4 linked regions of the Arabidopsis thaliana genome follow. The protein of the gene in region 2 interacts with the protein of the main gene of each other region in a pairwise test. Each region holds a gene or a part of one and is shown on either strand. Other genes may lie near its edges.

Region 1 (7,744 bases), on a different chromosome or scaffold from region 2:
TTATCTCCACCATCGGCTTTCTTCTCTCCAACGGCGGCAGCAACAGGTCCCTCTACCTTTGGCGGTGGATTCGCGAGAACCACCTTTCTCTTGGTTTTCTCCTCCAACTTCTCCTGGAGTTTCACTGGATCAATCTTTCCGACCACCAAAAGCTTATTTCCACCAGTATCTGCCGTCACATCTTTCACTCCATCAAAGTGCTTAACCATTCGCTTTATCTTCTTAGCGCAGCCTTCACAGTGCATATCCACTTTGTAAACAAAGGCAGAGACAACCGCGGCGACCGGTGGTGCTGCTGCTGCCGCGGAATCTCCTCCGCCGCTCTTTGGCTTGCCGTCAGTAGTCTCAACTGGGACTACGGTGGCAGCCGGCTTCTTCTCTTGTTCAACTTTGGGACCTTCTTGGACCTCTCCCATTCTTGGTTGAAGATAAGGATATATTTTTAAGGATTTTTATTTTTTGTATTTAATAGGACGAAGAATTGTTTGAACGAGAGTAAGTGGAGGCAAATGTGTGTATTTATAGAAGAAGAAGGAATGCGTGAAGGTTATTATTTTACTATATTATCGATACTGATTTTTTACTGAATATTATATGGTTTGATATTACATGTTCATTTCCGTATGTGTGTATTTGTTGGGGGCTGAGGTCAGCGAGAGTGGGCGTTTGACGCCGGTTTGACACAAGTGATGGTACGAGACACGAAGGCACCAAGTTTCTGAACAACATTACTTTAATCATCCGTGGATAATATTAAAAACAAAAATTGTTTGTGACGCAAATAGTTGATCAAGTTTAATGATTTCTTAAAGGTAACATTGCTTTTGAAAACAAAAAGAGCATCATTTCTCAGCTTTGACTACTTGATGACTTGAGTCTAGATTAGCAGAATCTTATATCAGTTTAAGGTAAAAATACATTCGACCAATTGTCACAATTCAAAGAATATACATCCTATACCTTATCAGAAACAAACTTTAGTTAGAAGATTTCATGGCCTTAAATACGAAATCAAATCATTTTATGAAGTCCGGTAATTCGTTTATTATTACAAGTTCATATAGGAAGAAAAGTGATGTTTTAATCAAATCATTTTTGTATTTTTGAATCACATCATTTTTGAAATTTTATCAATAAAAAAGAATTTGTAAAGAGATTAAAGATAAAGATAGATTCTTTTTCTTCTGATAAATGTGTATTGGTTAAAGTCATGATTGTGCAAATTGCATAGTCTTTTCTCATTGTAAGTGAAGTTGATGGAACCTCCTCTTCTCTTCTCTTTTATGTTTTATATTATTTAAAAAATTCATTTTAAGAAGTGATTTACTACAATTGATTCAAAAAAAAATCTTCTAACAGATTTCCCAAAAAGTTTTAGATATTTTGTTGTATTTTTAGGAAAAGAAACCAAAATTTATGATATTAAAATACCACATGTTATATTATATGATCCAATAAACGCATATTAAGATCAGATCAAAACTTTAAAATACAAGCTATACGAGAAGTCGCACATGGTTTTAATCTGTCAAGTAGTTTGACCGATTAATATATTTGATACTAGTACATAGAAGAATTCGAGACATGTGTGTGTAATGTACATATATTACTAAATTAACATCAACAAAAATGTGTATCATATATCTGAACAATTTTTTAAAAAATTGTATATGTTTTCGAGTATCAAGAATGTAATTTCACGTTTCGTTGTAATACACTATTCGTATCACTATCACCTACTGGCATACACTACTTTACATAATTCGTTCAGCACCAATAGCTTATATAATTATTTTTTAAATTCTTGCATAAATCAAAAGAATTTTGCTCTCCTAAAGAGCACAATTAGTGATTTTAATTAAATGATTACTTTGGTTTTGTTAGTTTCAGCTTCATGGAAACAGCCAAGAACCGCCTATCTACAAAAAACATGGGCTGCGGTATAGAGATAGAGACAAGAGGAATTGCAATATTAACTCACTGAGTTTTTACTTTTCTTTGAATGCTAACATATTGGGTTCGCTGTGTGAAAATTGAATTTTATCTGAAAATCTTTCAACTGCATAAACAGTAAAAGGATAAGAAAAGTTAAAAAAAAAAAATGTCCCAAGGGTTGCGTAATTGCGTTTCGTTCCTCCTTTCACCGGTCCATTTTGTCAACATCATGTTTCATTGTGTTTTGTTGATTTTTTTTGGTCATATGGTCCTATGAGTGACGTAATACATGAGGTGGACACATATTATTATATACACATGAAATATAGAGTTTGATTGAGAACTTTCTTGTCTATTATCTAAAATCTTTCGTAAAGTTAACGATCACAATGACCACAAACTTCAACGTACGTAAGTTTGTGTTTGTATTTTGAAAATCGATGTTTGGATCTTTTGAAACGTTTTGTTCAGTAATTTGGAAGTTTAGGGTAGAAATGGTCACTTATTATATGTAGCTAAATACGATTTCAACACATACAAACTACAAAGATTTGTTTTCGTGTTCCACAGTGTAACACGTCAGGCTGACTTGGATAATTTTAACTAACTTTACCAAGGTTAATATAAAACATAATCACTAATTGCAACATAAATAGACCATTTTAATTTCAGGTTGCAATTAGAGATTATGGTATACACAGCCACACAAAATCAAGAAAAATATGGCAACAGAAAATCGTCTCGTTTCAACCCTTTAAGTAGTTTCATCCATCCATATGGTGCCATTTTAAGTACACATGCAAGTCACCATTTTTCCTCATATTTTTTTGGCAAGTCTCATTGCTCGCCTCTCGTTGTAGCTTACAAAAATGACCATTCAATATGGTTATAAACCATCTTCATGCGACTGGCAAAAAAAAAAAAAAAAAAAAACCATCTTCATGCATGTCAGTTTTTTGTTGCTAGAAAGTTCGCCGTACATATTTGTCTCTCATGTAAAGGTGAAAATGGCTGTAACATGGATTAAACTATTAAAGATTCATTTTATGAAATATAATTTCCATTCATTTTGCTAGGAAATAATGAGGAAAGAACAAATTAAAAGAAATTTGTGTTCATCACAAAACGATAGCAATGTTTACGGAATGGAACCTAAAAGTAAACTACAGTTAGAAAGTGAAAGAAAATAAGATAATCAAAATGATATACAGTAACTTGGTCTTAGGAGTCTAAAGAGTAAAATCTATCTGATAATTAAGACAACATGAAAAAGATGGGCTATAGAAACGTTTTGAAATCAAGTTTAGTGGGGGCAGAGACAAAGTAGAACCAACTCATCAAGAACTCAATTTTAAACATCTAAATGGATCTCCATGCAACATTATTACACTAATAAATAATATGAAAAGTTTGGATTTGGTACCGGTCTGTTTCACTATCATTGTTACAATTATTGTATTCCTCGGCAGGAGCACCTTAGTTTATTAGAACAATTAGACCCCATTGACGAACCAATATGGTGTAGAAGTATCTGGAAAGAAAAAAGGAACGTCCCACATTTCAAACAAATCTTGCTAACCACGTATTATCTAGCTGGAGGAATGAGAATGACACATTGTCCTTGCTCTAGATGTAAATCCACATAACATAAGTAGGATCGGTTCTATTAAAACATTAATTGGAAAGCATTTCAAACTCGGGATAGTAAGTGTGGTGGAGACATGACGTATTGGTGACAAAAAAAATTATAGAGAGAAGAAACAAGCTTCAAACCCTCCCCAAGACAACAAAACCATCATTGTGGGGAGCATTAAGAGTATGCAACGCAAAGAGGCCTTTCATTCCCTTGCTCTCTCCACTTCTAAGAATTTATTGGTTTCTTGTTATACTAATAAATTAATGGAACCCTAAAAACAAGGTTATGAGATTTATCAGTAAACCTACGCTTCTGTCACTAATTCGGTCCAAGTACATTGCTAGAACTCTGTGACTTATCTTACAATGCTATTTCAGAATAATTTCAGACTAGATCTTAATTGGTTCCGTATGTATTACTGATTTCCAAATCATTAATTATTAATGGGCCTATCTAAGCCTGTTTAATAAATGGGCCTTGCGTCAAAGTCTCCATCACTGAAACCGCCCTTTTTAGGTTAATCAATACTTTATAACCGAAACTGATATTTTTTCTAGGGTTTCCTCTTCCGCATTCGTCGTCTTCAGCTCCTCCTACACAGTTTCTTCTCTGAATCGTAAGTTTTGAATTAATCTGCAAATTCGTTTAGATTCTTATCAATTAGTCACTAATTTTTCAATTGATGATTCGATCTCAGTACTTAGGAAGCTAAAATGGGTAGATGTCCGACTAGAAAAGTGAAGAAGAGGAGATTATCTCACAAAACAGCTCGCCGTGACAAATTCGAAGTCAAAGGCGATGACTTGGTTTACACAGAGTTGCGTAAACCGGAGACGGAGATTAAGCCGTTACAGCTTGACGAGGATTTGCCTGGAATGGGTCAATTCTACTGCTTACACTGCGAGTAAGAGAGATTCTATGATTACTCTATTGACGATTCTTTTGGTTTATGAAACTTTTTTTTAGCAAATACATTATCTTTGAATTACTCTATATGACCCATTTGTTTGTTTTACCTTGATATGTTTTAGTCGATACTTCTCCAACGTATCAGTGAGGGATGATCATTTCAAGACTAAGAAACACAAGAAGCGGTATGTGGATTCTTCTCCTTCCTTGGCCTTGGTTTCTATTTTGTTTTGTGTTCTTGGAACTGTGTTTGGTTCTTGTGCTCGTTTACTTTCTTGCTTGCAATGTTAAAGCTATTTCTCTTCACTTCTGTGTACCTAAAGATGTTTTAGCATTTGTAATTTGATTACCTTTGTATGATTATACATGTCTGTTGCAGTGTTGCTCTGTACTCAAGACTTATTATATGTGTTTTGTCCACTTGGATTGCAGTGTGAATATGATGATGGGACAAGCGCCACACTCGCAACTCGATGCAGATTTAGCCGGGGGAATGGGGATGCCGGACAATGGCCCAAAGCTGATGTCTAATTTGGTATTCACAGAGTTGCGTAAACCAGAGACGGAGGATTTACCTGGAATGGGTCAATTCAACTGCTTACTCTGCCAGTAAGATTATATGTGCAAAAAGACAATCTTTGAATTACTCTAGATTTCCATGTTTGTGTGAACATTTGTTTGTATTTGATTGACCTTGTCTCTCTACCTTGATATTTTTCAGTCGGAACTTCTCCAATGCATCAGTGATGGATTATCATTTCAAGACTAAGAAACACAAAAAGCGGTATGTGGATTCTTCTTCCTTGGTCTTGGTTTCTATCTTGTTTTGATCTTGGAACTGTGTTTGGTTCTTGTGCTCGTCTACTTTGAATTCATCTTGCTGGCAATGTTAAAGCTATTTCTCGTCACTGGCGTAGCTAAAAATGTTTTAGCACTTGTAACTTGATTACCTCTGTATGATTATATTATTGATCTATGCATGTCTGTTGCTCTGTACTCAGACTTAATATCTTTCTATTGTCCATTTGGATTTTTGTGTGATTGCAGTGTGAAGAAGATAGAGCGACCAGCGCCACACTCGCAACTCGATGCAGATTTAGCTGGTGGAATGGGAATGCCAGACAATGGTCCAAAGCTGATGTCTGCCTGAGTTTTTACAGTTATTTTCCTTATTTAGTTAATGGAACCCGAAATTTTGTTGTAAAACTATAATCTCCTAAATTAATGATACAGGTTTTTTGTCTGTTGCCAAGTATCTATCATGCAGTTACTGGTTTAGCTTCACTTAGAAGTTTAAATCTGATAAATCATATATTGTTTGTGTTGGTTGCATAAAAAACTTAACCATATAAGCCATACCAATCGTTGTTTTGACAAAATAGAAAGAACAAAACACTAGCTCTCTCAGCTGCTGATATGCGTTTGTAATTGAGATCACATTATGCAGACCTTGTTCTCTTCCGGGGAACTATTGCCTTTCCACGAGCAATCACGCCAAAGTGAAGCCTAGAAGCAGAAGAATCCCATAAGAGTCCTATATCGTCTCTTTCTTTCAAACTTCTCCTTTTGGATAAAATCTTCCAGCCAGTCACCCGTTAGAACATAGGTATATTGTACTGCCAGACGCAGCTCATGCATTGTGCTCGTGTCGTTGTCCTATACCTTAACAATGAGTCCGCTTTTGCAAATCAGCTTCAGGCAGATGTCCTCGAATCTGCTGTTCGAAGAAGCTTCTGGGCAGACGAAGTTGGCCATAAGTAGGGTTAACATTATGCTCGGTCAGTCTCTTCTTGATGGTCCATTGAGGTGCGTTGTTGACAAGTCTAGGGATAGGCATCATCGTAATCTCTATTCCATCTCTTGCTACCTTCAATATGGATTCAATGCTCCCAAAACAACGAAGAGAAATGTTACTTGGGTCTCCCAAAGTGTCAGAATTGTTTGTGCCATGTTCTTCACCTGAAACGGTAAAAGAACATAACATCGACTCTGTTGATAAAAAGGCACAACCACAAGAACCTCCTCCGAAATGGAAAGGATTTAGCAGGTTTTCAGTGTTCATGGTGATGTCATTACTTTCGAAGTAGTTTTGGTTTTTCGAGAATGGACCATGTCGACTGTTAAAGGCTTCTTTGTCTCTGTTCATCGGAGAAACAGAGGAGCAAGACGTTTCAAACGGTTCTTGGCTCATAATTTGCTTCTCTGTTACCTTGGATGACAAGAAAGACAAATCTTGAGGGCGCTCTCGTGGTTCTTGACTCGTACGAGCTCGATTCTTTTCCGATGGAGATGTACAATCGTCTGAGAATGACATTCTCGTTTCGCGATTTCTTCTTCGTCTAAGAGAGTTATCGTTATAACGATTTCACAGAGATACTGTATGAGGGACTAATGAGACCGCAAGTGATGATATATATATATATATATATATATATATATATATATATATATATATATATATATATATTATTCGCAAAGGCTAATCCAAAATGTTGGCAAGGATTCAAATAAAAGAGTGATAACATTTTGAGAAAACCCCGCCGCTAAGGCATCCACCAAGAAATTCTAAATTAAGTGTTACACAGACAAGAGACACTCAAAGTGATCGGGAAAAGTATGCAGGCCCTCTAGTGTTTTGTTTCCAAGCCCATAACGGAGCCTAAATTCATCATCCGCAACACCTTGATAAATGACTCTTCTAACGCTGTTCCTCTTTGGATTAGGAATAGGCGTAATAGACTTGAATATCAAACGGATCGAGGTGCAAATCTCATCTTGATCTATACCATTTCTCTGCTTGCGCATGTTTTATCTTCAGAGCTTTTCTTATGTCCCACTCCCAGTATCCATCTGTTGCATATCTTTTCATTATTTTTAATTTGCATTTTCACGGTGTTCACAAAAATATAATCTAATCTTACAAAAAAAATCTTGCGTTGATTTGTAAAAGTTATAAATGTAGTTCAAGTTCCAGTATCCATGCTACTTTACATAAAAAAAAAATAAGAGTAAAAAAACCTTGGTGACATTGTTAAACTTTTATTAATAGAAAGTGGGGAATTCCAGTACTGTAGCTTAAATTATTGGCCTTCTATGAATTTCTCAATTAGTGAACGACATGTGCCGAGAGGAGCTAGTGCTTCTTCTTCTCCACCACTATAATTTCCAAGTTTGTTCATAATTAAACACAAATTTATTTGCATTCAACAGCTAAAACAAAGTAGTCATCATCATCATGGTGTGTGTCCCATATGCATATATGTG
Region 2 (7,592 bases):
TATGGGTGATAATTCCTAGTACTTTACTAATCACTACTAACAGATGCAATGCATTATGCTACTTGAGGTTCAATCCAACGACTATAATAGATTCGGAGGTCACATGTTTGGTTTCAATTGTATATTAATAAAATACTATATATTATTCATGATTTGGTCACAAATGTGTTGTAGTCCAGTGATGTAGCTAGGTTGATGATACTTTTGTATGAAACTATATATGGTGGAGAACTGGAGATCATGTATTACGATTCACTAATCTCTAAAACCACTGAATATGACACTAATAGAATTTTATTGTAGTTTGGTAGATTCGACCAATATAGTTATGGTCTCGATTCTCAATCAGTTAATTCAGACTTAAATCCTGTTTTTACTATTATAATAGAACTTGATGATATATTGGTATGTCGTGTATCATGTTATAACCATGTAGTCAATCATTTTCAAGAAAAACAAAACATTAATAAATAATAGATACAGACCCGCCAATTGTACTAAAAAATATTATGGCCCATATTCAAAACCTAAAATAAAAATAAAATAAAAAATTTATCAGCGCCGATCCAGATTAGAAAGAACTCAACTTCCGTAGGTGTCTTAACAAAACTTATGATTAAAAAAAAACGTAATGGAATTTTGATGGTTAGGATATGAGAAATTAAATTATATAAATATGTGAAAAACGTAACTCGAGGTATTAAATACCTTTGTGTGGTAAGATAGATTGGGGGAAACCTCCACGTGGAACAAGTACCGATGCTTCCGACCACCTCCACGTGGTAACAACAGCTCAGCTTCTGCTCTGACATTTTGACCGCACGTGACTTTTGCTCCGTGCACGTGTGTATCAAGCAGACTGTGCGATTGCATCGTCACGTCATGAATCGTCCGATTGTCACCGGTCATGTAAATGAACGGTTCTGATTGAGACTACTTGGTTAAGTGAGGCACATGCATCCACGTTAAAGAGACTGCTTCAAAGGTAACTAAATCCGCACATCTTTACAATTTCTCCTTTTCGTTCCAACAAGATCCACACTTCATTTCTACATCTAGATAGATCAACTTATATCGAAAGTTTTTTTCTAATGCATCATTTGTCCACAAATATATGATATATCATTCCATTGTAATATATACTATGATCAAAATAAAAATATCTCAATCGAAAGTGCTAAACTCATTTTCAATTCTTATTGTTTGTCCGTCTGCATATTTTATAAGCTTTCACATGAATCCTTTCGTGCAAACTGTAAATAATTAAAATACTAACCTGTTTAGATCATCGAATAATGCGTGCACACAAATGGATTTAGATATGCACATACTTATACCTTACATACACATTAGACAACCATAAGATGATCGTAAAATAAAAAATTAATACACTAAAATATTCATTTAGTATCCTAAGAAAATAGTTATCGTTGATTATTCGTTCTTATCGTCTAAATTATTCTTACTTATGTCCGACCCCCTTCTAGCTGGTACAGTAAAAGTGGATAATTAATACTAATACCTATCAAACAAGTGGGGAAACTTTGGTAAGAATTTCAATTTCTTTAATATATATAGCTTGGTACTACCAAGATCAAGTAGTAGCATAGAGGAGGGAATATGTGTGCGAATTAATATTAAATGCTGTTAATTAATTAACCAACTAATGTATGGTTAAATAATTAAAAGTATTCTAAACGTTGAAAGCAATTATGTATAACAATAGTTTTCTAAATATAGTTCATATTCAACGTTTGAAAGAATGAACATATTAGCTCAAATCTGTTAAAATAAGTGGTGTTCTAAACACGAGAGTTCGATTACAAAACTAATGAATCTCGATCATTATTTTCTTCTATGTTAGAATACTGAAAAGACATTTAATTTGCAATACATTATCGCATAGTGTAATAAATGTTAAGTTCCACCTCTTAGCAAAAGACTGAGAGAGGAGGTCCAATGAACATCGTTGACAGGAAAAAAAGAGAAAAAAAAAACGTCTTAATTTTTTCTATACTTGATAAAATTTAAAAGACATTTAGATTATAATTATTAACATACTAAAAATGTGTTTCATAAATTGCAAAAAAAGCAAAGAATGGTTTGACTCATATTTATATGTAAGAAATAACCTTTGAGTTGAAAAGAATACACAAAATAACTTAGAACCAAATAGTACTTGTCGGTTACAGAAATTTTGGCAATATTTAGTCTATTTTAGCCTTTCTCTTTCTTCTTCCTTCTTTTATTTCTTTTTCATGTTCTTTACGAGACTTTAGCCATAGAGTTCTCTTTCTCTTTTCATCTTTAACACAATTCATCTTCTTCAGATTCACCATGTCATTTTCTTTTTCTATTTCTCTCTCCCTCTCCTAAAATAATCTTCACCACCTCTCATAAAATATATCATCATATCTCTTTATTTTTGTTCACCCACATGTTCTCTCTTTCTTTTTCCATAGAAATCTCTCTATCTCTCATTCTTTATTTTCTCTTTTTACCTGAATTCTCCGTCAATGTCGTTGTGATATAAGAGATTAAATTTGATTTTAAAACAAATATCTGATTTTAAAATGCATGTATTTTAAGAACAAAACATGTTATTAACACTAATATATTAATATTTGTCATGCTATCCAACAAAAACTCATGAAATAAATAAATATTTGTCATGTTATCCAATAAAAACCCATGTAATATTGTAATTTTTTAAATTTCGCAATCTATAAGAGAATTGCATGCTTTTTATAAATATTTCGTGCTATTTCTGAAAAACACATTATTTCAGAGAAACATATATATCGTGTATATATATTCTGTATGTATTTTAAAGAATTGCATGCTCTTTTGTAAATATATCATATTATTTTAGACAAATACATAAAAACTTTATAACTACAACCACCGATATTTTTGTAAAAACAAGAAAATCTAAGGATATTTTAGTATTTTATCCACCATAGAAAATGTTATTTACCTAAGTTTCCTGACACAAGGCTATTCTCTCAATTCTTTTCAATTCCATGGTTACTTTCTAATATTACCCTATATAATATTGATATTTTCAAACTTTTGATGTAAATATGAAATTTTCAATGTAGAAACTTAACACATGTCACTGGAGAGATGATGCTTTTTATATGTTTATTTTAAACAAATCCCACTTAAAATCTGTATACACTTTTTTGGGGTACCTTATGTAGATTATATCGAATTTCATGAATTTCTAACTTAGAAAGTTAATATACATTGATAATAAATAGTTTGGTCTATATTTTTTTTACTATCAATAATAATTTATAATTAGTTTAATAAAAATTGAAGTGCACTCACTCATGGTAATAGTTTTTAATTAGTTTTAGAATATATGACCAAGACCAAAAACATTTTGAAACTGAATTTAGTTTTGAATAGGTAGAATCTCGGTTTTAAAGAAAATGATGAAATTCATAATGGAAGGCGTTACATGCACACGCTTCAAGGCAATTCGATTCATGGCTAACATTTTTGATTCACTTTTATTTTACTTTTTGTCATCTGTTTATTCTGTTTCAATTAAGTGTCGTTTTAAGACTTTAATTTTGTTTCAGGATAAATTTTATTTTATATTTTCAATGCAAATATTTTTTTTTGTTAAAATTTCATGTCTTATCTATGTTTTTCTAACAGATTGACAAAAAAAAAATCTATGTTTTTCTAACGTATTAACTGATGAAAGAAATATAATTGTGTATTAATGAAAGATAGAAGTGAAACTTTAATTAAATTTTAATACTATATGTTAATTAACTTTAAACAGCATATAATGATAAATGGTGGGAGTATTACATTTGTTTCTAGGGAATACTGCATTATTATGCGGACAAATTTGATATGTAACTTTCAAAAACTTATACAATAATTTATATTTAGACTTCTCGTTTGTTTTCTATATAATAATTTCCAACAACTTTATCAAAAAAAATAAAAAAAAATTCCAACAATTTAATATCAGCATGTTTCTTCCATCTCCTATTCATATACCTTTGGCTTTTAAATTGTAAATTTCTTAATTTCCTTTTTCTTTAAATTTTAACTCTTAAAAGTTTTCCTTTATTTTCTTGGTTTGAAGCTATATGCCAAAAAGGGAAACGCATATATCCAGAGAAGAAAAACTCGAAACCCTTGTCTTTTCATGGATTTCAAGTATATTATTAATATGCAATTATTCGTATATTAATATATGCCCCTATGCGTATTTTATTTTTTAATGCGAAAGGAATGATATTCAGCTAAATTTTCGGTGTGTCTATTGCTTTTTTTTTCCCTTTCCTCGTTCAAAAAAAGTACTTGCAGAGTCACTCACTCTCAGTCTCAGCACATGAATTAATTTGAAGCTTCCCTAGAATTCTTTCACATCAATTAATACGACACCGTCTCGGGTGAAGAATCTCTCCTCTCTTGCCCTAAAGCGAGTTAGGGTTTAACACACAAAGCATACCCTTTAGATTTGTGTCTCTTAGCTCTGTTTTTGTCGGCTTGTGTAACCGATCAACTCAAGCTATTGGCTCCTCACCTCCTGAAATTTGACTTCTCCAATGGATCTCAAAGTTTCTCTTATATGAATTCTATCTTCACCCTCACAATATCTTTATATATATGAGCCACAAGAACAAGAAGAGTCAGTAGATGCGGCTGCCATGGACGGTGGTTACGATCAATCCGGAGGAGCTTCTAGATACTTTCACAACCTCTTCAGGCCTGAGCTTCATCACCAGCTTCAACCTCAGCCTCAACTTCACCCTTTGCCTCAGCCTCAGCCTCAACCTCAGCCTCAGCAGCAGAATTCAGATGATGAATCTGACTCCAACAAGGATCCGGGTTCCGACCCAGTTACCTCTGGTTCAACCGGGAAACGTCCACGTGGACGTCCTCCGGGATCCAAGAACAAGCCGAAGCCACCGGTGATAGTGACTAGAGATAGCCCCAACGTGCTTAGATCTCATGTTCTTGAAGTCTCATCTGGAGCCGACATAGTCGAGAGCGTTACCACTTACGCTCGCAGGAGAGGAAGAGGAGTCTCCATTCTCAGTGGTAACGGCACGGTGGCTAACGTCAGTCTCCGGCAGCCGGCAACGACAGCGGCTCATGGGGCAAATGGTGGAACCGGAGGTGTTGTGGCTCTACATGGAAGGTTTGAGATACTTTCCCTCACAGGTACGGTGTTGCCGCCCCCTGCGCCGCCAGGATCCGGTGGTCTTTCTATCTTTCTTTCCGGCGTTCAAGGTCAGGTGATTGGAGGAAACGTGGTGGCTCCGCTTGTGGCTTCGGGTCCAGTGATACTAATGGCTGCATCGTTCTCTAATGCAACTTTCGAAAGGCTTCCCCTTGAAGATGAAGGAGGAGAAGGTGGAGAGGGAGGAGAAGTTGGAGAGGGAGGAGGAGGAGAAGGTGGTCCACCGCCGGCCACGTCATCATCACCACCATCTGGAGCCGGTCAAGGACAGTTAAGAGGTAACATGAGTGGTTATGATCAGTTTGCCGGTGATCCTCATTTGCTTGGTTGGGGAGCCGCAGCCGCAGCCGCACCACCAAGACCAGCCTTTTAGAATTGAAAATTATGTCCGTAACATAGCTGTAACCAAATTTCATTTCTCAAAATTAAAAGAAAAAAAAAATCATCTTCATTGTTTGGGGATCGTTTGGTTTTTAATTTAGTTGATCATATATGAATATTTGAATTCGTCTTGAGATGATATACTTCTCCATCTGCATTTTCTCTTCTTTTTTAATCACTAGGGTTTCGTGCTGTCCCTATATATTATTTGTTATATGCTTGAGTTCACAATAAAAGTGCTATTAGAAGCCAATTTTTATATATCACTTAGTTACCTTTGTAATTGGATAACAAAAAAGTTATTGAGTACATTTTATAGAAATATTGAAATGGCTCATACTTGTATATATCATGGATGTGGTATGTGTAATCCCCTTTTTGAGTAGTTATCAAAGGTAATCACTCAATCTATGTTACTATGTCTATCAAGTAATCAACCAACAAATCAAACATCTTGTTCTTTTTAATTCATCTAGATACCATACATGAATCTTCGAGATTTTATGATTTGAAAATCTCTAGATTGAATATCTTGTTTACGCATGGAATCTCTGATTTAGTACATGTTTCACCCAACTGAGTTCTACATTGTATTTCGATGAGATCAATATGAATATTTCTTCGTTTTTATCAATTAATCACGAAAATAACGCGTTAAGAATCTACCAAAAAGTAAATAACGCTTTAGAAATTTTACGAAAAACTAAATAACTATTTAGAATTTTATGAGTTTGTTTTAAAGACAGCGGTTACTGTGATAATTGCATACTATATTTTTGTCGATTATAAGAAAAGATTCGCCCACCCGTTACAACGATATAAACATGATTTTTCGACGGTTACAAGTTAATGGCTTAAACACGAGAACATTACATGACCTGCCAAAACCAAAATATGAAAAATTTGTCCCAGAGTTTCATTTATCAGTTTCCTTTTAGAGGATTAGGAAAGTCTATAACAACACAGCCAAGTGGGGCTTTAAGTACAAAGATGTGTGAAAATGAGGAATGCATCAAGTCCCTAGGGAAACTATGTATGGACCGTATGAAAACGTATATTTAAAAAGAAAATCAAGTGAAAGGAAAAGCTTGTACATGACCAATGCATGTCCAAAGGAGATTTGTGGTGAAATATCTTCAATGAGCTTCTAAGAGAAGACAGGTGACATTTATGTATATAAGAAATGGAGTCTCATCATGTTTACTGTTATACAATGAGAATGAGAGATGGTTTAAAAACCTCTTATTTTCATAATTTTCATATATTTGACATTTTAGGGCTTCAACCATGTAAAGAGAATAAAGGGTAATGTACTTTGAGACCTTTTCGATACATGCACTGTGACTTTATCTTTTTAAGATATCCATGTGCTCATGTCAAGTGCCTTACATGCAGTTGAGCAACGATTGGGTTAAGAAATCTTGTTCATTGTGTGTTTTATACGAACGGCTGATAAGTAAACGTAAATGTGAAGGTTTCCCTATATATACGAATTATGATTGGATAGATATATAGATCCTTTAAGTAACATATGTTCTACACTATCTAGACTACTAACTATTTTACACCCAAAAAAGAAGAAGGTCTACACTATTGTGTGGGCCATAGAGCTTGAAGAACATATGTTACTTAAAGGATCATGGTTCGAACTACAACATTTTTAAGTATGATTTGTTATTGTAATTGTTTTACATGAAAATAATATCATACTTTTTCATAAATTCTGAAGATTGGTATGAATTCGACCAAGAATCTCACGGTTGTAAAAAGAGAGAACTTAAACAAAAATTGTATACTATAGTAGTATAGTCACATATTATTAACTATTACAATAGAATGTTTTGCTAATTTTTGTCTGATGTCAACAGAAAATAGATAAGCATGAATATCTAAAAATCACAAAACGTGTTAGATGTAAATATATAATATTGGGTCTAATGCAAATTGGAAGTTGCAATAATATGTTTAGTTTTTTTCTTCAAAAAAAATTTTCTTG
Region 3 (8,258 bases), on a different chromosome or scaffold from region 2:
GTTAGTTAGCTTTAAACATGAATACTATCTGGTAGCAGATATTCCTACTAAAGCACTGCATCATCATGGTGTAGTATTGGTGTGTGTGTGTATTTGTTAATTCTCATTTTGAAATTTTAGATCTGGAGCAGCATCACAAAGAAATCAAGCTTTCATACGATATGTATGGGAAGGGTCTGCTTGCTTCGAAGGTAGCTTAGTTTGTGTGCTCAAGCTTCTTCTTTTTTTCCGTCTAAAACTCCTTAATCGAGATGTGCTAAGAACTTTGTTTCTAGGTTGTGATATACCTAATCTTGGTATTGTGCTTCTGGAGGACTCCAATTGCCATTATCGCTAAGCAACTTGTTCAACCGTTTGGTGAGTAGTTTACTTTTACCAGGTTAAAGCTCGCTTATGGTATATAACACATAGGAAAAAAATGAATGTGGTGTGTTTCACAGGGACTTTGTTATCTTGGGGAACAGGAGGTCACATGACAGGCCATGTAATGGTAAGTTCCTTCTTCTCAATCCATTTATTTGGGCTTGTTCTTGATTGAGAGTGTTGGTTGGGTAAAAATGCAGGTCGGGATCATACCGTGGCTCATACTCTCAAACAGAGTGAGCAAATATGTGTGTAGGTTCGTGGAGTTCTAAATCGCATCCCTGAAAAGAGTGAAGATTGGATGGTTTTTGAGTTCAAAGTTGTAGCCTTTTAGGAGACACTTGTGGCAGAAATTGTGCTTCTCTTTTTGTTCCTAATCTTCCTTAACAATGTATATTTATATGACTCTTTTTCTCTGGTTGTTTGTTGGATTTTACCAATAACAAGTAGTTCGTTTTTGAGAGTTGAGCAGGTTGTTACCGTAGAAGCAGCCCCAATATTTACCCAATGTGTATATATACACCATAACAAACACATTGTCTCTATTCCTCTACGTGTTGTCAATTTTTATCTTGTAACACCGACTTTGTAAAATCAGATTCTAAAGACGCGTGTACTTATTCAACACGATGCCAATGCATGTGGTTCATTAAGATGTAGCATTATATCACCGAAAATGGAAGAGAGAAATAAAAATACTTACTATTATTAAAAGTGGGTAGCTTGGTGAAGGCACTAAAGTTTAATGGGAGAATCTTTTTAGCAATTAATTCGAGGGCATTATAATATCCACTTCCAACCACCACATTACTTAATTAAGGAAAACAATTTAAATCATAGTATCTTGTTTGGTTTGAAAGGAACGTGCACGTGTCACATCATCTACACTTGTCTTTCTAAATCAAAGAACTTGATTGGATTTGGTTAAGCCTATTAGTAAGAGTTAATAAGACAGAACCAAAGAAAAGGGTTTGGTTAGAGGGGCTAATTGGGAGATGGGAAGTGCAATAAATAAGAAGAAGGTTCATTAAATAGTTGTGTATGTGGGCATCCAAAGTCCCATCTTAATAATTTAATAATCTCCTCGGGATAGATAACAATCTTCTCTTCTTCTTCTTCTTCTTCTCTCCATTTTCCTAGAACATTAAAAGACAAATATGGAGCATTGTAATTTAATTAATCCTAAAGGTCATTGTGATATCTCACTTTCGTCTTTAAGGGAGGGGGGATGTTAGAAAAATGTTGTGTTTTGGGTTTGTGATCAGAACCCATGCACATTTCAATTCAATGCATCTCATAATAATATACGTAGTAACGTCTACAAGAACTTTTCTACCACTTGGCAGATTTAGGGACTATGTTTCTGTGTCTCTCTATCACCCCTAATTCAATAGCATATTAAAAGTTTACTCTAAAACAAGAAGTCACGACAAAATGAGATCATTGTGAAGATATAATTGGTTTACTATAAATTTCATGTAAGAAATAAGTATCCGTATTTGTAGGATATCTAAATTATGTGATCCGTTTTACACTTTTACTTAAGAGAAAGTTGAATTCCTAGAAAAGTTTCAAATATCCAATTTTCTCCTCTAAAAGACTAAAAACGAAAAAAACCATAAGTTTTTAAGAAACGAAAAAAAAAAAGTATTTTCATTATGAACTATTCAGTGAATTCATCTATTGTTTTTTCCTTCAAATAGTAAAAAGTGAAAAATGAAGACGGTGGTAATAATAGTAAAAATGATAACAATAACTAATAACACTTCACTTCATATGTTGGTCTTTTAGTAACTAGTTGAATCTAGAAACTAATTTGTCCAGCCTTAATTTACACAAAACTAGTAGCAAACTTATTCGTTAACACAGTTTCAATTTTGGTGATATTTTTCAATAAAAGCCTAAGGACCCAAGCGATGTGAAGTAAAAGCATGGAACTCTCTATTTAAAGCCTTAAGCCGAGTGTGGACACTATTTCTCTTTAGTCTCTCTACGGAACCTGTCTTCTTGTCTTGTCCAAAATCGGATTTTTAAGAGTACAAGTGAGTTTATTTTGGGGGCCGAAATCTGTCCTGGAGGATACAGAAGCAAGATGAAGTTAATAGATCGAAGAATGAGGTTAACGGAGCTGCTCTTACGGTGCTCCATCAGTGTCTTCGCTCTCCTCGCGCTTATTCTAGTTGTGACAGACACTGAGGTCAAGCTTATCTTCACTATCAAGAAGACGGCCAAGTACACGGACATGAAGGCGGTTGTGTAAGCTTATCATAAACCCATTTCGGATTTAGTACTTTGACTTGAGATAGATTGCAAAGTTTGTAACTTTTTTGTTGTTATTGTTGGGATTGATTGATGCAGGTTCTTGGTGGTGGCTAATGGGATAGCTGCGGTTTATTCTTTGTTGCAATCAGTTCGTTGCGTGGTGGGTACGATGAAAGGAAAGGTTTTGTTTAGTAAGCCTCTTGCTTGGGCCTTTTTCTCTGGTGATCAGGTGAGTTTTAGTTTGTGTTTCTCTTTTTACATACATTTTGTTTGCCAAAATTAGTGAATTGGATGTGGGATTTTTGGGGTTTGGCTTTGTTATTTTGAGATCTCAGGTCAAATTAGAGAAAAGTAGGGTACTATGTTGAAAAGTCTCTAAGCATTAAATGGGTTTGGTTGGATATCAGAATTGAATTAACTTAGGTAGGAATGTTGCTTGTTTGCTTGCATTTGGAATTGAAGTTTCGTTGGCCATTTAAGAGTGTAGTTGTGATTTTGAATGAGCAGGCGATGGCGTACTTGAATGTGGCAGCCATTGCAGCAACAGCAGAGTCTGGTGTGATTGCTAGGGAAGGAGAGGAAGATTTGCAATGGATGAGAGTGTGTACTATGTATGGAAAGTTCTGCAACCAAATGGCTATAGGAGTCTCTAGCGCCTTGTTAGCCTCCATTGCTATGGTTTTCGTCTCCTGCATTTCTGCTTTTAGTCTCTTCCGCTTGTACGGTGCCACCAAAGACCGCAGAACCACGCCGTGGTGAAGTGAATGCGGCTTTGTCTTTAGTAGTGTTGAAAATGTTGTTGTTAAAAAAACATATAGTAACAAAAGTGTAGGCTCTTGTTGGTTCTTCTTCTTCTTCTTCTTGATGATGTTATATGTGACAAACAATATGTAAAACTAGACTATTGATGTTCTGTGTCAATGTGCCATATGCTGTGATAAAAAACGAGACCAAGGTTATTGACTTATTGTTGAGCAAAGCATCACCCTCATTGTGTCACCGACCTCTATTGCTTCTCTATTTGCATTTAGGCCCTTACACAATAAGATTATTACTAGGCCCGCTATGCAATTTACATTTTTGACTTTTTCAACCCCTTTTAGGTAATTTGAGACCCCAGTTTGCAATTTTAGAACCAATAGAGGAAGAAAGCACCTTTCGACGCCGTTCTAGTTTTCCGATACCCTCAGCTTCTCCGACACCAATCCTTAATCTTTGCTCCTTTGTTTTGGTTATACTAGTTTCTTCGTCTCTAAAGATTAGATTTTTAAGTTTTGAATAGAAAGCGATATGTCAGAGAAGTTTTCACCGACTTTGAGGCTCGGAGATCTCAACGATTTCATTGCTCCGTCTCAAGCTTGTGTCATATCTCTTAAGGACTCAAAACCCATCGTCAAGAAGTCTGATCGACCCCAGGTCCGAAATTTCCATGCTTTGCCATTGAATTTCATTCTTTCTTCAAGTTAGTCTCTTTTTGTGTTTTAGGGAATAGCATATCCTAGTCTTTTGTTATGAATCCTATATATATCTTCACTAGCTAAACGTGTCCTTCTCTGTGCTAATTTGAATTTGAAGGTTGTGATTGCCCCAAAACAGCAGCTTGAACCGGTTAAAATTTCTCTCAAGGATTGCTTGGCTTGCAGGTTTGTCCTCTCATTTACTTTGTCTGAGTCAGTTTTAGAGTTTAGAGTGTAATGGTTTATGTATACGATTATACAGTGGATGCATCACATCAGCTGAGACAGTTATGCTTGAGAAGCAAAGCTTAGACGAGTTTCTCTCTGCTCTTAGCAAAGGCAAGGACGTGGTTGTGTCCGTTTCTCCACAGTCGAGAGCTTCCCTTGCGGTTCACTATGACATCTCTCCTCTTCAGGTTTTCAAGAAGCTTACTACGTTTTTGAAGTCTCTGGGAGTTAAAGCTGTGTTTGATACTAGCTGCAGTAGAGATTTGGTACTTATTGAATCTTGTAATGAGTTTGTGAGCCGTTATAAGCAAGCTAATTCTGATGATGGTGAAAATTCTCAATCCCCTCTCCCTGTGCTTTCCTCTGCCTGTCCTGGTAAGCAACTTTACTAGTTTGACGTAATGCTATGTGTCACTATGTGAGAGTAACGTGCGGAAATTTTGGTGAATCAAGGTTGGATTTGTTATGCTGAAAAGCAGCTTGGCTCATATGTTCTGCCGTATGTGTCTTCTGTTAAGAGTCCTCAGCAAGCTATTGGAGCTGCGATCAAACACCATCTGTGTCAAGCATTAGGACTCAGGTACGGTGGTACACTTGAATCTTTGGTTACCTTTCTGAAATTTTGGATTCAACGTGAGCATTTCATGGAACTAGGCTGCATGAGGTGTACCATGTGACTGTGATGCCCTGTTATGATAAGAAACTCGAGGCAGCAAGAGATGATTTTGTCTTTGATGATGGAACACAAGATAATGGAGACCTTAAGCTGACAGAAGTTGATTCCGTGCTAACAACGGGTGAAATCATGGATTTAATAAAGGTGATACTGTGATAGAGATTAAACCCTATTTTCATTGTAATTCTGCTTCCATACCGCAGAAAATGTGAATTTGATTTTGGATTTCTATATGTGTCGTGCAGTTGAAAGGAGTTGACTTTAAAGATTTGGAGGAATCTCCACTTGACAGAGTGTAAGAAGCATTATTATTTCCTCTTCTCTGCTAGTGGGTGATGAATACATACGAAGTAAACATTTCCATTTTCATGCAAAAAACAGGCTGACGAATGTTACTGAGGAAGGAGATCTTTATGGTGTAGCTGGGAGTTCTGGTGGTTATGCAGAAACAATATTCAGACATGCGGCAAAAGCACTATTTGGACAAACTATTGAAGGTCCTCTGGAGTTTAAAACTCTCAGAAATTCTGATTTCCGTGAAGTGACTCTTCAAGTAAGTTCTTAGCCAGACTATGAACAGTTTTGAAATTTTCTCTCATTAATCCCCCTCGGATTTGTCTCATGTTCGTCATCTTTTTCTTGAAGTTGGAAGGTAAAACAGTGTTAAAATTTGCGCTGTGTTACGGTTTCCAGAACCTCCAGAATATTGTTCGGAGAGTGAAAACGCGCAAATGCGATTATCAGTATGTAGAGATTATGGCGTGCCCTGCAGGTTCATCTTCTGCAAACCCTAGTTGAAAAACGTGTCTTATATGTTGACTTATTAACCGTTCCCCAAAATGCTCGCTCTCAACAGGTTGCCTAAATGGTGGTGGGCAGATCAAGCCAAAGACAGGACAGTCCCAGAAAGAACTGATCCACTCACTGGAAGCTACTTATATGAATGATACTGTAAGTTATCCTTGAGTCTCATAAATCACTTTTAACTAAGCTAGTAATAAATAACCTGCCCTTTTGGATCCAGACTTTGAATACAGATCCATACCAGAATCCAACGGCGAAGAGATTATTCGAGGAGTGGCTTAAAGAGCCTGGTTCCAACGAGGCGAAGAAGTACTTGCATACTCAGTACCATCCGGTCGTGAAAAGTGTTACGTCGCAGCTCAACAACTGGTAGACCGTAGACAAACTGGAAGTGTTCAAATTTTTTGACTGACAAGGCAACAAAAACGGTTCTATATTGTGTATTTAGATAGGAGATAAGTGTGAAGCTTTCTGCTCAAATCTTTATATGTAAAAGACAAATCTCAACATTACATATAAGGAAAATTACACGATCCTACTAAGCTGGAGTTTTTTTTGGTTGGCTTGCAATAGTACATTGATACAACCTCCAACACGGTTACACTTATTACATAGCAGTTACTGCTGTGATAGTTACTGTGATAGAGAGGCAAGGAGCTTGTCCTTCAACTGCTCAGCGGTGCAGCCACCCTGAGGCCGGAGAGTGAATGTGTGAACCACACCCTCCTCTGTGATGGCCACGTTGGAATCATGAGGCATAACTTCATTCTCCCTCAACGTTTGTATCACCTTTGAAACTGGATGAGTTTCCAACGGACAGCTTAGCCTTACAACTGCATCATCATGCCTCTGTTGATAATCAACCTCTGCTGGAGTTATCTGATTACTCTCCCTCCTCTTCATTATCTGCTTCTCTGTTTCATACACCCTGATTTTCTTCTGCATATCCGTGATGTAAGTGATTGCGTCTGCAAGGAGCGAAGCCTTGTCCATCTTGGAGATGTTAGGCACCACCGCTCTCAAAGCGTAGAATCTCTGGTTCAGCTTCTCCCTCCTCTGCCGTTCCGCTTCCACATGGTTTAGAGCCTCTTCTCTTCCATTTGCTGGTTTTCTCCCTCTCTTCCTCGGCTTTTGCTCGTCAGTTAGATACAATGTCTCATCTTTCCCTTGCTCATAACCATACACTTGATTAGAGCCTCCGATCGCTTGCACCTCATACGATTCCAATGAGAAACCCGTGTCATCCTCGGTCTTCGGGGAGAAATTAATACTCATAGACCGAGGTTTTGCTCCACCAAGACTCAGCTGTCGACCAAAGATTTTAGGAGCTTCTTTAGCCTGAACAAAGTCAGACCCACCAAACACTGATTTCACCATCTCAATCACACTCTTATCTTCTGGAATATGTCTTAAAGAACCAAGCTCCACAACTCCAGAATTCACTGGTACAGACAACACAGTCTGAAAACCAGCTGACCTAGCTAAGAAAGACCTAACCCTATAATAACTCAAGCAGCTAGGCAAATCTGCAGCCCAAAGAGGCTTCCCAGACACATAGGTTCCAGCAGGACCGTACTTATTGGTATCACACCTAAAGGAAAAGTACAAAGAAGCCAGATAAAACATGTCGAGATCAGTAAGAGCTCCTGATTTCACCAAACGATGATCTTCATCTGAACCAACGAACGACAAGTGAAGCTTGCGAAGCACACGTCTTTTGATCTCATCTTGCTGAGAGTAATCCTCACCTGAAGCACCCTTTTTGACACGGCAATGACCATCTCCCCAGATCAAGACACAACCATCAGAGCTATTAACGTTGGACGCTAGCCAGAAAAGAGCATAATCCCAATCAGATCCTTCAACAACGTGACGTAACCCTTGTTGGAGATTGGAATCACTTGGTGGTGAGACAAGCTTGGACAAGGCAGTGTTGGAAGCTGAAGCTGTTGAGATGAAAAAGTCGCAAGCTTCAGAGCCTATGGTGGATTCAACCATCGCTCGATCTTCTTGATTCTCCCAAAACTTTTGACCCATTTCTCCTGAAACGTTCATTGACATGGAATATACAAAAATTAGGGTATGGAATCAAATAAAATTAAAGGTATTTGGATTGAGATCGCTGCTTACAAATGAGATAGAAGATGATGGGTTTCGTGAGGAAGAGGAACGAGAATCACGTGATTCTTGCTGAGACACCGAATTTAGGGTTTGTTGGTGAAAAAGCAAAATCCTTTATAAAGGATATAACTCTAATTTATATTGCTGAGAAAGGAATGATCAAAGAGAAGACAAAACCTGAGCTTGGTTCACTTCAGATCTGTAGTGACTTGTTCTGAAATTGACGAAGAAAGAAGAAAAGAGGAAGAGACTATGCGAGAGAGAGAATATGGGTTTAATCGTAATTTAATACCAAGGACATCATTTCCTTCAGTTTTTTAACTGCAAACTATACTTTTGCCTTTTCT
Region 4 (6,347 bases), on a different chromosome or scaffold from region 2:
GTATAGTCAGATGAACAGAGGGAGAGTTTTTGCTTGTTTCTCAAAAGAAGCATCAAGTTTTATCCAGAACCAAGCTTGGATTCTAAGAGGTTGTTACTAGCCAGATTCTGAGAGGTAGATTTGCTTCTTTTCTGTTGGGTTTAGTGTCTCCATAGTTTTGATTTTGTCACAATTACATTGCTCCATTTGTGTAAGACGATCTTTAATCATTTGCTTCACTCTCATTCTAGATTTATTCATTCTCATTTTTGTCTCTATAACCAAGCGCTTATAAAATTATCATCCTTTACATTTCATTACAAAACCATCTTGGAGTTAATAATAATCGATTTATAATTTTCTCTGCCTCTCTTAACCAAAGATCAGAGTTCAAGAAAATAACACAAACCACATGACACAACGGGAACCAAGATGAATCATCATCATTACTCTCTCGTCATCTTCCACCTAATTCTCTTCCTTTCCCTAGATTTTCCCACACTTTCTCACCGTTTCTCGCCGCCGCTACAAAACTTAACTCTCTACGGCGACGCCTTCTTCCGCGACCGTACAATCTCACTAACCCAACAACAACCTTGCTTTCCCTCCGTCACAACACCACCGTCAAAACCATCTTCCTCCGGCATTGGACGAGCTCTCTACGTGTACCCAATAAAGTTTCTCGAACCTTCCACTAACACAACCGCTTCTTTCTCTTGCCGCTTCTCCTTCTCCATCATCGCTTCTCCTTCTTGCCCTTTTGGTGACGGCTTCGCTTTCTTGATCACGTCTAATGCTGACTCATTCGTCTTCTCTAATGGCTTCTTGGGTCTACCAAATCCTGATGATTCTTTCATCGCCGTTGAGTTTGATACTAGATTTGACCCGGTTCACGGTGACATCAACGATAACCATGTTGGAATCGATGTTAGTTCAATCTTCTCTGTTTCTTCCGTTGATGCGATTTCGAAAGGGTTTGATCTTAAAAGTGGGAAAAAGATGATGGCTTGGATTGAGTATAGTGATGTTCTTAAACTGATTAGGGTTTGGGTTGGGTATTCTCGTGTTAAGCCTACTAGTCCTGTTTTATCAACACAGATTGATCTCTCTGGTAAAGTTAAAGAGTATATGCATGTTGGTTTCTCTGCTTCGAATGCTGGTATTGGGTCAGCTTTGCATATCGTTGAGCGGTGGAAATTTAGGACCTTTGGGTCTCATTCTGATGCGATTCAAGAAGAGGAGGAGGAGAAAGATGAAGAGTGTTTGGTTTGCTCAGGGGAAGTTTCCGAAAATCCGAAGGAAATTCATCGTAAAGGTTTCAACTTTAGGGTTACAGTTGTTGGATTAAAGATACCAGTTTGGAGTCTTTTACCTGGTTTGGCTGCAATTGTTATCCTCGTGGCGTTTATTGTTTTCTCATTGATTTGTGGCAAGAAAAGGATTAGTGAGGAAGCTGATTCGAATTCGGGGCTTGTTCGGATGCCTGGAAGGTTATCCTTGGCTGAGATCAAATCCGCGACGTCGGGTTTCAATGAGAACGCAATCGTTGGTCAAGGAGCTTCTGCTACTGTCTATAGAGGCTCTATTCCTTCCATTGGATCCGTGGCCGTGAAGCGGTTTGATCGAGAACACTGGCCACAATGCAACCGTAACCCTTTCACCACAGAGTTCACCACAATGACTGGTTACTTGCGGCACAAGAATCTGGTTCAGTTCCAGGGGTGGTGCAGCGAAGGAACAGAGACGGCCTTAGTGTTTGAGTACTTACCTAACGGAAGTTTAAGTGAATTCCTACACAAGAAACCCTCATCTGATCCATCAGAAGAGATCATAGTACTCTCTTGGAAGCAGAGGGTAAACATCATTCTCGGTGTGGCTTCCGCACTTACATATCTACACGAAGAATGTGAGAGACAGATCATCCACCGTGACGTCAAGACCTGTAACATAATGCTTGATGCCGAGTTTAACGCCAAGCTTGGTGATTTCGGGTTAGCTGAGATATATGAGCACAGTGCGTTGCTAGCTGGACGAGCTGCTACACTCCCAGCAGGTACTATGGGTTACTTGGCACCAGAATACGTGTACACAGGTGTGCCCTCTGAAAAAACAGACGTGTACAGCTTTGGAGTGGTGGTTCTGGAAGTGTGTACGGGGCGTAGGCCGGTGGGGGATGACGGGGCGGTGCTTGTAGACCTGATGTGGAGCCACTGGGAGACAGGGAAGGTGCTGGATGGGGCTGACATCATGCTGAGGGAAGAGTTCGATGCAGAGGAAATGGAAAGGGTGTTGATGGTTGGGATGGTTTGTGCGCATCCTGACAGTGAGAAGCGGCCAAGGGTGAAGGATGCTGTGAGGATTATACGCGGGGAGGCGCCGTTGCCAGTTCTTCCGGCGAGGAGGCCTTTGTTGAGAATCCGACCGGCTAACGAAGCGGAAGAGATGATTGTCGATGGTTTGGTTGGGGAGGATCTTCCTTGGATGACTCCTAAATCGCACTTTAGCTGATTCCTTTTTTTGGGGCTTTCTGTAATTGGTTACATTTTAGTTTGAGATTTGGAAAATTTGTAATCTTTTTTATTTGTCTAGTTTTGGAAACTAAAGATTATAAACCTCCCGGAGTAATCAGTATTTCATAACTCAAATAAATAGATACATCAAGTACATTTTGTTATAGTCTAACAAAACATTAATTCATATTTATTACCCAAACAGACTCATGATTTGTACAGCATTACACGGTTGCAAAAAACTGTTAAATTCTATTGACATACATACACGGGTGAAACAACGTGCATGCAATGGTGGTAAATGGTAATAAGTAATAGCAATGGATTTTAAAATACTATTCTAATTTACTAGTTCAATAACACACAAAAATGGCCTTTTGGTTGCATGGTTTAATACTATACTAGTGATAAGCCCGTTATTGGACCAAGAAAGTCTTGATTATAATATACTGAGTTATTGGACAAAAAAAAAGAGATAAATAACTAAATTTGTATGGTTTGAAATATTTTTCCATTATATTTGAGATAATTTGATAGTTCCACAAATTGACCCACTAGATGAGTCAATAAAATAATTCAACCATTGAAAATAGATTATCGAACAACTCGAATCAAATGCACCGTTACGATAATACCACATTCCAACGCCAATTTGTTTTTTTTATTAATAAGTACTTCTCTTTTTTAATTATTTTTGTAATGGTGGAGAAAATAAAAAGGAAGGGCAATATTGGGTTTAACTGAAAATTTGATATTAAGAAAAGCCTGAAACAAGGCGCAACACGCAGCTCCAGAGAGTCGGTGGTGGTGGAGAGATCCGGCGTCGTCGGATCCGAAGAAGAAGATGAAGGTTTCAAGCGGTGTGGTCGCTTCTGTCATTGCCGTCTCCACCGCTGCTCTCTCTTCTTCCTCCATTCTTCCTCCAGTCTCCCCAAAGGTTTTTCTTTCTTTTTTAAGATCTGCGATTTCGACGATTTCAATTGTTCTGTGGTTTGAAACTGAGATGTGGATATGAATTGATCAGGTTTGGGAATCGAGGAAAACGAATGGGTCGGACAATTTCGAGCCGAGGTTTGATGGGTTAAGGTTCATAGAGACGCTGGTCACAGCACACAGATGATAAGATTACAAATACCATTCTTCTTCTTCTTCTCTTGGGTGATGCAAAAGCTTTGTTTTTTCCATTCAAAGCGTGAGTGCGTCACTTAGGTCTTTAATCTTATCATTCTCATCTTCTCTTTTGTTGTCTTCTATTATCTCTGTAATGAGAATTTATTAACATTCTTTTGCTTTCAAGGGATATGCTAAATTGAACTCTTTCTTGTTGTGAGCTAAACTTTATTCATATGTTGGTGTGCTTTTACTTTATATGAGACAAAGCAATGTGTGGCGATGGCTCTAATTGGTGTTTTGAATCATTGGGTTGTATCTGGTTAAACTTTAAAGAGCCGTTCAAGGTCATCAACCTAGTTGGATTTAGTCAAATTCTGGTGTATTGGAAAAAAGACTAGTTGAAGCAAACAGGCTGTTGAAAGACATGAGTGGTAGATGTTCTAGTTGGTGTTCTGTCTCCATGTAGCTGTCTCAAATACCTAGCAAGTGTTGTAATGAGAGCACCGAGAGAGAAGAGGACAAGAATGATCTGTCATAAGAGAAGTGAGAATCCGAGAGGAAGCAAAACAAGAAAGATGCTCTCTCCTCTACTGCTTGCTCCAGAGACACTGACTTCCAGCTCATCCAAACCAACATTACTCTTTCTCTTTCTTCTTTTCAATTATTTCTTTATTACTATTTCACTTTGAAATTTAGTGAATCCTAACGCTCTGGTCCCATCACTGCCTCCTCTATCATCTTGCTCACAACCACTCACTACGCTCTCTCTCTCTCTCTCTCACTTCATCTATGGCTTCTTCTTCTCTGCAGTCTCTCTTCTCTCTGTTTTGCCTTGCTCTGTTCTCTCTTCCTCTCATCGTCTCCTCCATCGGCATCAACTATGGCCAGGTCGCTAACAACCTTCCTCCCCCTAAAAACGTCATCCCTCTCCTCAAGTCTGTGGGAGCTACAAAAGTCAAGCTCTATGACGCCGATCCACAAGCCCTACGTGCCTTCGCCGGCTCCGGCTTCGAGCTCACCGTGGCCCTCGGTAACGAGTACCTGGCTCAGATGAGCGACCCTATTAAAGCCCAAGGCTGGGTGAAGGAGAACGTCCAAGCTTACCTCCCAAACACCAAGATCGTGGCCATCGTAGTGGGAAACGAAGTCCTCACCTCAAACCAGTCAGCCCTCACGGCAGCCCTCTTCCCGGCTATGCAAAGCATCCACGGTGCTCTGGTGGATTGTGGCCTAAACAAGCAGATCTTTGTGACGACGGCTCACTCACTAGCCATCTTGGATGTATCCTACCCTCCCTCGGCCACTTCCTTCCGCCGCGACCTCCTCGGCTCCCTCACTCCCATCTTGGACTTCCACGTCAAGACTGGCTCACCAATCCTCATCAACGCCTACCCTTTCTTCGCCTACGAAGAAAACCCCAAACACGTTTCTCTCGACTTCGTACTCTTCCAACCAAATCAAGGCTTCACCGATCCTGGCTCTAATTTCCACTACGACAACATGCTCTTCGCTCAGGTCGACGCAGTCTATCACGCTCTTGACGCTGTCGGCATCAGCTACAAGAAAGTTCCCATTGTCGTCTCCGAGACCGGATGGCCTTCCAACGGTGACCCGCAAGAAGTCGGAGCCACCTGCGACAATGCTCGCAAGTACAATGGGAATCTGATCAAGATGATGATGAGCAAGAAGATGAGGACGCCTATACGACCTGAGTGCGATCTCACCATCTTCGTCTTTGCTCTCTTTAACGAGAACATGAAGCCTGGACCAACCTCCGAGAGGAACTACGGTCTCTTCAACCCTGACGGAACTCCGGTTTACTCACTTGGGATCAAGACCTCTTCCACTCATAGTAGTGGTAGTGGTAGCAGCAACTCCACTGGTGGTAGTAGCAGTGGCGGTGGCGGTAACACTGGTGGCTCTTCCAGCGGTGGTGGCATCTATCAGCCAGTCACGGGTAACCCATCACCGGATTACATGTCCATTTCCTCCGCCGGGGTAACGTTTTCGACTTTACACTTCATTTGTTGTTTTACTTTGACAATTTTCGTAGACATTTAGGACTAGAAGGTCGTTACTGTTAAGTTGCATATTTAGACATATTTTGTCACTCTATTTATCTGTTTTGTTTCATTTAAACAATAAATTTAGTGGTAAAAGAAAAAAAAATCACAAAGCTCGAATAAGGAAGGATTAACATTGTGGTAAAGTTAGTGACTTTTGGTTAAAAAGTTGGAATCTTTATTATAAACTCGAAAAACTGTGACAATGTGTTTTGGATTGGTTATCACGTGGAGATGACTCTTGTTTTGTTACTTTTGTCTGAAAATATAATTGATTTAGAGTGCCTCACTTTTTGACTTGTTGACCTCTTGAATAAACGAATTAAAGGAGTGTGACATAGGCAATGCTTGTTGACGTTTTTGCAGGGAAAAGGCAGATTCGTTGAGTGTGTGTTGTTCTTCTTCTTGCTTTGCATCATCAAGCTTCGGTTGTAAAAGCTTCTCCACTAGATCTCGTCGGCTTTGTACTTTTACTCGGTTGATGACGTGATATAGCCCCCAAATTTAATTTAATTAGTTTTGTGTTGGTGTTTTGGTCGGAGGATGATTTAGGAGACATACCATCTTTGTTGTGCCGACCTCCTCTCCAACTCTTTTTTTTTTTCCTTTTCCATTCTCCTTTTTCTTGTTTAAGCATAGATTATTTAAATAATGAATCTTAGTTGATTAGATTTTTCTAAAG

The links.
Region 1: the proteins of SOB3 (region 2) and AT2G36930 interact in a two-hybrid assay, tested with the Arabidopsis thaliana proteins (one large-scale study listed by BioGRID).
Region 3: the proteins of SOB3 (region 2) and NAR1 interact in a two-hybrid assay, tested with the Arabidopsis thaliana proteins (one large-scale study listed by BioGRID).
Region 4: the proteins of SOB3 (region 2) and AT5G42110 interact in a two-hybrid assay, tested with the Arabidopsis thaliana proteins (one large-scale study listed by BioGRID).

The regions. Positions count from the first base shown.
Region 1 is NC_003071.7:15,507,888-15,515,631, reverse strand, and holds AT2G36930 (zinc finger (C2H2 type) family protein), read left to right. Parts: upstream 1-4,024; 5' UTR 4,025-4,187; intron 4,188-4,268; 5' UTR 4,269-4,284; coding exon 4,285-4,475; intron 4,476-4,602; coding exon 4,603-4,665; intron 4,666-4,912; coding exon 4,913-5,089; intron 5,090-5,201; coding exon 5,202-5,264; intron 5,265-5,527; coding exon 5,528-5,630; 3' UTR 5,631-5,734; downstream 5,735-7,744. Other genes in the region: AT2G36950 (Heavy metal transport/detoxification superfamily protein), read right to left, coding at 1-416; AT2G36920 (B3 domain protein), read right to left, coding at 6,144-6,794.
Region 2 is NC_003070.9:28,700,853-28,708,444, forward strand, and holds SOB3 (Putative AT-hook DNA-binding family protein), read left to right. Parts: upstream 1-4,110; 5' UTR 4,111-4,679; coding exon 4,680-5,588; 3' UTR 5,589-5,839; downstream 5,840-7,592. UniProt on the Arabidopsis thaliana protein: Transcription factor that specifically binds AT-rich DNA sequences related to the nuclear matrix attachment regions (MARs). Acts redundantly with AHL18, AHL22 and AHL27 in the regulation of flowering and regulation of the hypocotyl elongation.
Region 3 is NC_003075.7:9,267,168-9,275,425, reverse strand, and holds NAR1 (ferredoxin hydrogenase), read left to right. Parts: upstream 1-3,756; 5' UTR 3,757-3,915; coding exon 3,916-4,041; intron 4,042-4,200; coding exon 4,201-4,268; intron 4,269-4,344; coding exon 4,345-4,685; intron 4,686-4,763; coding exon 4,764-4,890; intron 4,891-4,964; coding exon 4,965-5,130; intron 5,131-5,231; coding exon 5,232-5,281; intron 5,282-5,367; coding exon 5,368-5,539; intron 5,540-5,631; coding exon 5,632-5,758; intron 5,759-5,842; coding exon 5,843-5,937; intron 5,938-6,010; coding exon 6,011-6,163; 3' UTR 6,164-6,332; downstream 6,333-8,258. Other genes in the region: AT4G16444 (tail-anchored protein insertion receptor WRB-like protein), read left to right, coding at 121-191, 276-357, 441-490, 564-635; AT4G16442 (Uncharacterized protein family (UPF0497)), read left to right, coding at 2,456-2,619, 2,722-2,854, 3,133-3,384; AT4G16430 (basic helix-loop-helix (bHLH) DNA-binding superfamily protein), read right to left, coding at 6,424-7,827. UniProt on the Arabidopsis thaliana protein: Essential component of the cytosolic iron-sulfur (Fe-S) protein assembly (CIA) machinery. Required for the maturation of extramitochondrial Fe/S proteins.
Region 4 is NC_003076.8:16,829,213-16,835,559, reverse strand, and holds AT5G42110 (uncharacterized protein), read left to right. Parts: upstream 1-3,202; 5' UTR 3,203-3,333; coding exon 3,334-3,426; intron 3,427-3,513; coding exon 3,514-3,609; 3' UTR 3,610-3,864; downstream 3,865-6,347. Other genes in the region: AT5G42120 (Concanavalin A-like lectin protein kinase family protein), read left to right, coding at 412-2,487; BG_PPAP (beta-1,3-glucanase), read left to right, coding at 4,392-5,600, 6,032-6,100.